2 linked regions of the Ovis aries genome follow. The protein of the gene in region 2 purifies or fractionates together with the protein of the main gene of each other region. This does not show direct contact. Links are inferred from orthologs where the notes say so. Each region holds a gene or a part of one and is shown on either strand. Other genes may lie near its edges.

Region 1 (3,967 bases), on a different chromosome or scaffold from region 2:
GTCTTCAAGAGGAGTCAAGTAGGAATTGAAATATAACTTTTAAAACAGAGCTGGGTTATCTAGCAGACAGATTAAACATTAACTTTTCATTAAATATGTCGGTCACTGGAAGATGTCCATCATTGTTTCAGTGATTAAGGTTTTCTTGCCTGCCCTTTTATATGTAATATTGATAATTCTACCTAAACCATTTCCTTCTCTGTCTCCTAGATTGCAAGAAAATCTTCAAAATGGATGTTAAGAGCTAACAGGCATGAGCTTAGGATGTGTGATACTGTTCTAAATGCTTATGTGTGTATCAATTCATTTAAAACTCAAAACAGTCCTAGGAAGTAGGGACACCTCTTATTCCCCCCTCCATTTTATAACTAAGAAAAGTGTAAGGTTTTTCTAACAGGAAGGAAAGGTGGACAGAAGTGGCACCAAGACAGTGTGTGAGCCTGCTTTCTGAATCATCTCCGAATGCAGCCCTGTCCCTAGAGCAATGAGCATGTTTTCTGGTGTAGGAGAAATTATTGAGAACAGAGCCTACTAAGCCCAAGGATACCCTTGCCACTTTCCTATCTGCGTACAGGTAGAAATCTCCACCATCCCTTTTAAATTGACCTCATCTGCTCGGAGCCAGCCCGTATACTGGGCACTAGTACCAGGCATTGTGCAAGCCTAGGAAACGCTCTCCCCCGACATCCGTTTTACATGTGTGTGGAGGGAGGGAGGCACAGCCTGGCGCGTGAGCCAGTTCTCCAGAAGGGACGTTTGAGCTAGAATTTCTGGCATAATCGAGCCAGCGCTCGAAAACCTGGTGCTGAGCGTTGGAGGGGGAGTGTATCCTCTCCAAGAAGGAAAGCCTCATGGTGGAATGGCTGATACCTATCCTGGGCGCTCGGGGCCAGGACAAGCTGGCTGTTTCTTCTGATTAAAAGAGGAAGCAATAACTTTGCCTATGACTCCAAACACACTGGTTCGAACTTGGCAGTTAGGAATCCTATGCAGTTGTCTCACGCCACTCAGGGTGTATACGCGAGGAATTTTCACTTGGCTGGAGTGAACTCGCTCGGAGCCGCGCGTGCGCCTCTGATGGGGGTGGGGGCGCGCTGCGCGCGGACGCGGGGCGGGGGGCGGGGAGGAGGTCCCAGGGCGCCCTCCTTTCGCGGTCCCGTCGCGCTACCGGAGCGGACAGCTTCCGGCCGGTGCCTCGGGTCGCGTGGGCGGCAGACCTGTGACCGAGGAGGCCCGGCGGGGGCTACTTCATAGACGTCTTGTTCGTTAGGAGCAAAGGGCGCCTCCTGGAAGAGCGCGTGGAGGGCGCTCCCCGGGTGGAAAGACTCCTCGGGAGGAGTCGAGGGGCCGAGTCTGGGGGCCGCTTCCGCCAGCCCCGTAGGAGGAAAGAGGAGGGGCGGGCTGCTCAGGAGCAGCCTGGGCGGGCCGCCCGCGCTCGACGCAGGCGGGAGGAAGGGAGGGAGCGAGGGGCGAGCTTTGGGGAGCAGCATGGAGACCTCGGCTGACTTGCTGGCCGCCGCCGCCGCGCGGGGCCGGGCTGACGAGGTACGGGCACTGCTCGAGGCTGGAGCGTTGGCCAACGCGCCGAACCGTTACGGTCGAAGCGCGATTCAGGTGGGTCAGCAGGTCTGCCGCGGAAAGGTGGGCGGCTGGGTGGGTGGGTGGATGGCGAGAGGCTTTGGAGGACGAGGTCCGCCAGTGAGTCGGAACCAGGTAAGCGTTTCTTGGTAAAGGGGAGACTTTTCAGACCGAGTTCGGGATCGGAGACCTCTCGGCGACTCTCAGGGGGCTCAGGACGGCCGCGGAGCTGGCTGAGAAGGCGCGTGGGGTTCAGATCTCTAAAACGGTGTGAAGATCTAGAAGGGAGAACCTACGTGTGTTAATATAGACCGATATGCGAAATTGACGAACGTCTGGAGTACGAGTATAAAGACAGTAAGACATGCTGGACCACTTACTCCCGAACTTATAAAATTGTGAATGGAGCTGATCGACTTCTTTGTTGGGGGGGGAGGGGCGGTGAGAGGGAGATTTCAGTGGAAATCTACTGCTGTGTAAGTTGGAATAAAGGTCGATTGAAATTATTCAGAAGCAACCATATATCGTGTTTATTATTTTTTTTTAACCGAGTAAGGAACATATATGCTTGTTTAGGAAATAGACATACATGAAAAAAAAAATTAGTGCAATTATGCCTGAAATAATGCTGCCAATTTAGTTACCACTTGAGTGTCTCTTACCTTTTGGGGTATTTTAAACTTACTTGGTATACATTAATTTCCTGGGAAGTTTTCAGTTCCTCATAGTTTAAAAAATGTCATTTCTCCTCTCCCCACTCCAGTTTTGTATGTGTGAGGATGAGTTGTGAGTTCGTTTTTCTGTGTGTGTGTGTGTGTGTGTGTGTGTGTGTGTTTTGCCTTCACTAACTTCCTAAATCTGGGGCTAAAAATAAATTCTTCCTGGCAGTCACTCCAGTTTTATTCCAGGTTTCGACAACGATTTCTGATTCTGAAAAATAATATTTATATGAAATGTACACTGCAAAAACTCCAGCATAACAAGACAAAGGAAAAGTAACTCAACCTGGAACTTAACAAGTGATTTCACAAGCGAATCGTCCTTTCCTCAAACTATGCTACATAGAACAGATATATTTTATATACTTTTAGATACAAAAATAAAAATAAAATATCCTCAAATCTGAGATTATTTGGGATTTGAAATGTGGAGAGATTTGGAGATTAAAAGGTTGAATGGTTGTAGAAGAGAAGCATGAGTTCTTTTTTTAAAAAATGCATGCATGATTCATAATTGGATATCTCTAAAGTTTTGCCAGCAGTTTGCAGACTGGGTGTTACAGCCTTCTAGTTCTGAAAGATGTTATATTAGACTTTATTGTTTAAATACAAAAAGAAAGATAATTAATTTTAAATTATTTTTAAATAGGATAAGGGCATCGACAAAAGGGATATGATTTTAGTTTTGAACCCTAACCAAATTTGTGTTTAAAAATACTTAGTTTATAGAAAAATTTTAATGACTAAATTAAATTTATATCTTCAGTTTGACTTAAGTACCCTAGAAATATTCATTTGAATGATTTTCTTTTTGCTTTGGATTGCTACTATGATTTAAATATTATGTTACTTTTCATACTTTAATACTGTAGCATATAATAATACCTTTAACCAATTTAATGACTAAGACCAAGGACTTCATTTATCCAACCCATGTAATATATTTTCACCTGCATTATATACAAGCATGGAAGGAGACATACATATATATATATGAGCTCTGGCACTTATAGTAGAGTTTCCAAAAGATTATGGTGTCCTTGGGTGTGGCCCCTTTGTTTTGGAAATTAATTCATAATCCATGAGAAATCCAATAGTGTAAATTTCCCCAGTTTTTATTTTAAAAAATTCTTTCTTCTAATGCACTGTTAGTTTTCCTTTTTGTAGCTGCAAGTTGGTTCACTTAAATTTTCTCTGTGGTTTTTTTTTTTTTTTTAATTAAATCAGTTTCACTTTCTCTAGGATAGAACTCAACAAGCATAGTATAACTTGTTAAGATTCCTTGGTTTGAACAAATTAATTCAAGTTTAATACAGAACTCAACTAAAAATAAATAATTCCTCAATATAGTGTAGCTAATGTAACCAAATAATGGTTACCCTAAAAAAGAATGTTCTATCACCTCCACCCAATGTATAACACTCAAATTGCAAAGTTGCTGTGATTGTGAACAATATTTCAAAATTCCTCTTTGGTAATGCTCTTGTATCATCAAAGATTATTTAGGAACCAAATGAAGTGAGCACCTCCTCTTTAATGAAGTCTGAGTGTGATCTTGGAAGGTGTCTTCCTATTTCTGCTATAACAAATTACCACAAATTTAGTATCAACATAAATTTATTATCTTATGGTTCTGTAAATCAGAATTCTAAAATGGGTCCACAAGGTTG
Region 2 (4,054 bases):
CTTATAAGTTTGCGATTAATATTGGGGACTCGCGTATAGCCACGAATATATATAGGTTTTGTTTAAAATCATCAGATCAATACACCTATTTCTTTAACTTGTAATTGTTCTGATTGTTGCCAGACCCCCGCCAACCGCCTCAGGCTCTCGAATGCAGCCCCCGGGCAAATTCTAAAGGTGAAGAGAGGTCCACACCCCCAACAAAGCCAATTAGGAAGTTTCCGGTGGTCTTCTCCCAGGCGGGGAGGCGACCAATATTTCCAGCGATTTAGCTTAATTTTTAATTAAAAAAACGAGACAGGACAGAGACCACTGTTTTGCAGCCTTCCTTTCAGAGTGTTTTTCTAGCTGTTAAATTGCCGGCACAGGGCGGGGGCGGGGGGGAAGTGTTGGGGGCCCCCCGCAAGAATGGACTAGCTAAGGTAGGAAGACAGTGCGCAGATCCCCCAGGCGAAGAGGACAGGGCGAAGGAAATGCTGGCCACCATCTTGGGCTGCTGCTGGAATTTTCGGGCATTTATTTTATTTTATTTTTTGAGCGAGCGCGTGTTAGGCTGAAAGCCCTTTAACTTTGGGGGTTACCCCTCCGGCATTTGCACAGACCCCCCTCGGTGCGGGAATGAAACCTCCACCGGGGTTGTCGGCTCTGCCCTGAGTCCCTGAATGGTAAATGGTTCCTGAAATTTACACGTGTTAATGAAAATGAAAGAAGACGTAGACGCTAAGATCCCTTGGCTGCCTCCGCCCGTGGGTGCCCTCGTGGCGTTCTCGGAAATGCGCCCATTCTCCCGGCTCAGAGTGTCACCGAACCCCAGCGTCCCCCTCCACACGGTCTCCCCCAGCTGCGTGTGGCCTGCCCGCCCTCCTAGTTGTCCCCCTCTGCAGAGCCACCGTCACCCAACCCCCCAAATCCTGCGGGACCCGCTCGGGGAGGACAGACCCCCCCCCCAACCCCCGCTCCTGCACCCCTCTTCCTCGGCGGGGAGAAAGGCAGCCTTAGGACGGTTTGCATTTCTATGAAAACCCGGCTTCGGGGGCAACACCGCGCGGTGCAGGCGCGGCGCCTCCGGGATGGCTTTTGGGCTCTGCCCCTCGCCGCTCCCCGACGCTCGGCGCCCGCGCCCCCTCCCCCTGCGCCCGGCCCCCCTCCTTCCCGCTCCCATTCTCTGCCCGGCTTTGATCTCTGCTTAACAACAGTAACGTCACACGGACTACAGGGGAGTTTTGTTGGAAGTTGCAAAGTCCTAGAGCCTCCAGAGGGCTGTCGGCGCAGTAGCAGCGAGCAGCAGCGTCCGCGCGCTCCGGCGAGGGGCAGACGAGCTCGAGGGAGCGCGGGGCAGCAGGAGCCCGAGTCGAGAGCCGACCCAGCCCCGGACCCATCGCCGCCCCCCGGCCACCTAGCCGAGCCCCCAACCATGGCACACCAGCTCCTGTGCTGCGAGATGGAAACCATTCGCCGGGCGTACCCCGATGCCAACCTCCTCAACGACCGAGTGCTGCGGGCCATGCTCAAGGCGGAGGAGACCTGCGCGCCCTCGGTGTCCTACTTCAAGTGTGTGCAGAAGGAGATCCTGCCGTCCATGCGGAAGATCGTGGCCACCTGGATGCTGGAGGTGCGGGGCTCCGGGCGGCTCTCTTAGCACTTTCCTGCGACTTGTTGCGCAAACCCACTTTTCTTTGCCACTCATCACCCTCCCTTCTCTCCCACCCAAACTTTGAAGTTTGCCAGAGTGTTGCTAGGAATCGTAGTTCCAAAATATATAGATATTCAGGGTATTTTTTTGAACAAGGAGGGAGTGGGGGTGGGGTCATTAGATAATTCCTTTCGTGGGTGGGTGGGGGCGGCGGCGGTCGAGGAGGGGTACCCTAGGGGAAAGCCACTGCCCGGGCACCCCAGTTGGCTTCAGGGTGCGGGCCCGCAGGCTGGGCGTCCTTTGTGGCCCCCGCCGGGACCTCCACCGCGCAGCCCCGCTGCGCCTCCTCTTGCGGCCGCGCGGCTGCTGAGCCGCCAGCTCCAGGGGGAGGGGGCATAGATTTGATTTTTAAATTAATATCCATGGACACGTATGCAAGGGCCGCTCGTGCCAGTATTATGCGCCATCTTTGTTCTTTTATTGCAAAGCAAAAGTGTTTATTAATAATTGGGGGCAGGGTGGGGGCGGGGAGCGGCCGGCCAGGCGCTTGGGGCCGCCGCGAGGGGCCGCGCCGCCACCGGGACCCAGCGGGAGGGGCGCGGGGACAGAGCTCGGGTAGTTGTGGGGGGACCCCTCTCGGGAAAGGGGGCCCCTTTGTTCAAGCAGTGGGTCCCGGGGCGTCCCGCAAGGCCAGCTTGGGCCAGAGAGCACGCCGGGCTGCAAGGTCGCGTGGCCCCCAAGACGCTAGGAATGGACCCTCATCTGCCGGGATCTCAGCTTGGGGGACCTGTCTGGAGCGAGCTGGGGGCCAGGGGCACGTTTTCAGGCCTTCAGAGGGCTCCCCGGGGCACCGCAAGTATTTTAAAATAATTTTTGAAAGTGCGGCGTGGTGCCCTTGCGAGAAGGAAACGGCGCCCGCGCCCAGGGGGAAGGGGGGCCCCCGAGTTTGAATTCCTGGGGCTCTCCCCTGAGCCCGCAACGAGCTCCCGACTCCCGGCCTGGGTAAAGGACAGTCTGAGGGTCATTTTCAGGGCATTTTTATGTACCCACTTAATTTTTTTATATTTTTAAATATTTTTTGAAAAGATGACGTCTGGGGAAATGCGGCGCGGCGGCCTGGGACGCCACCTTTGTGTCTCGCAGGCGCTGCGAGCGCGGCGCCCAGCCCCGCGGCCCTCCCCGCGGCCCTGCGCCCCATTTTTTGCCGACCCCAGGTCTGGCGGCTCCCGAAGCACCCACGCGGGCCGGGGTCCCTGGGACCCACAGCCCGCGCGCGACACACGCCGCCCAGCTGTGCCCGCTCCCGCCCCCACTGTGCCAGCCTAGCTGGGACTTTCCCTTTCAGTTTCGGGGTGGGTGAGTATTGGGGACTCCCGGGGAAGAGGGGCGCGGCGGCGGCGGCTTCTGCTGCCCCTTGCCCCGACCCTCCGCGCGCTCAGAGACCTCGCAGTCCAGCCGCCCTGGCGCGAGCCGGGTCGGGGGGCGCGAGGTCTCCGCAGAGGGGCCGGGCGCTCCCGGCGGCGGCGGCGGCGGCGGCGGTCACGGCCCCCGGTGCCCCCCGGCAGGTCTGCGAGGAGCAGAAGTGCGAGGAGGAGGTCTTCCCGCTGGCCATGAACTACCTGGACCGCTTCCTGTCGCTGGAGCCCGTGAAAAAGAGCCGCCTGCAGCTGCTGGGGGCCACCTGCATGTTCGTGGCCTCGAAGATGAAGGAGACCATCCCCCTGACGGCCGAGAAGCTGTGCGTCTACACTGACAACTCCATCCGGCCCGACGAGCTGCTGGTAACCCTGGGACCCCCGCCACGGCCCCTGAACGCCCAGTTAGCCGCGGGACCCCGGGGTGGGGGAGGCGCGGGGGTCCCCGGCGGGCCGCCGAGAGACCCTCGCCCCCAAGGAAGGCGGCCGCACGGGCGGGGCCCCGCGCCGCCCCGCAGCCGCGCCGCCGCCCCCCTCGCTTTCCCTCTGACTCCCACCACCTCTGCGCCCCCAGCGTTGCGAAAAGTGGGGGGCGCGCGCCCTCCAGCGGCGGCGGCGGGGCGGCGCCCGCGCGGTTGACCCGGCTCCGCGTTCCAGGTGTGGGCGGGCCCCTGGTCTCCGCCGGCCCAGGGTGGGCTGAGTTTAGGGTAGGACCCTTGGCGAGCAGCACCGTCCCTGCACGGAATGTGGGGTCGCGCGCTCTCCCCCTCACTTCCCGGACCCTCCAGCGACCCCCATCCCCTCTCTCCGACCCCTGCTCCACTGGGGTCCGCGCCTGCGCCTCTCGACACGCGTTTCCCCCGGGTCCGCAGCACATGGAGCTGGTCCTGGTGAACAAACTCAAGTGGAACCTGGCGGCCATGACCCCGCACGACTTCATCGAGCACTTCCTCTCCAAAATGCCGGTGGCCGAGGAGAACAAGCAGATCATCCGCAAACACGCGCA

The links. The genes of interacting proteins can lie anywhere in the genome.
Region 1: the proteins of CCND1 (region 2) and cyclin-dependent kinase inhibitor 2A purify together in Homo sapiens (affinity purification with western blotting; 3 studies listed by BioGRID and IntAct, with this or other methods). This does not show direct contact. The link is inferred for Ovis aries from reciprocal best matches to the Homo sapiens genes CCND1 and CDKN2A.

The regions. Positions count from the first base shown.
Region 1 is NC_056055.1:90,755,893-90,759,859, reverse strand, and holds the start of cyclin-dependent kinase inhibitor 2A, read left to right. Parts: upstream 1-1,159; 5' UTR 1,160-1,488; coding exon 1,489-1,614; intron 1,615-3,967. UniProt on the Homo sapiens protein: Acts as a negative regulator of the proliferation of normal cells by interacting strongly with CDK4 and CDK6. This inhibits their ability to interact with cyclins D and to phosphorylate the retinoblastoma protein.
Region 2 is NC_056074.1:43,280,871-43,284,924, forward strand, and holds the start of CCND1 (G1/S-specific cyclin-D1), read left to right. Parts: upstream 1-1,254; 5' UTR 1,255-1,414; coding exon 1,415-1,612; intron 1,613-3,198; coding exon 3,199-3,414; intron 3,415-3,920; coding exon 3,921-4,054. UniProt on the Homo sapiens protein: Regulatory component of the cyclin D1-CDK4 (DC) complex that phosphorylates and inhibits members of the retinoblastoma (RB) protein family including RB1 and regulates the cell-cycle during G(1)/S transition.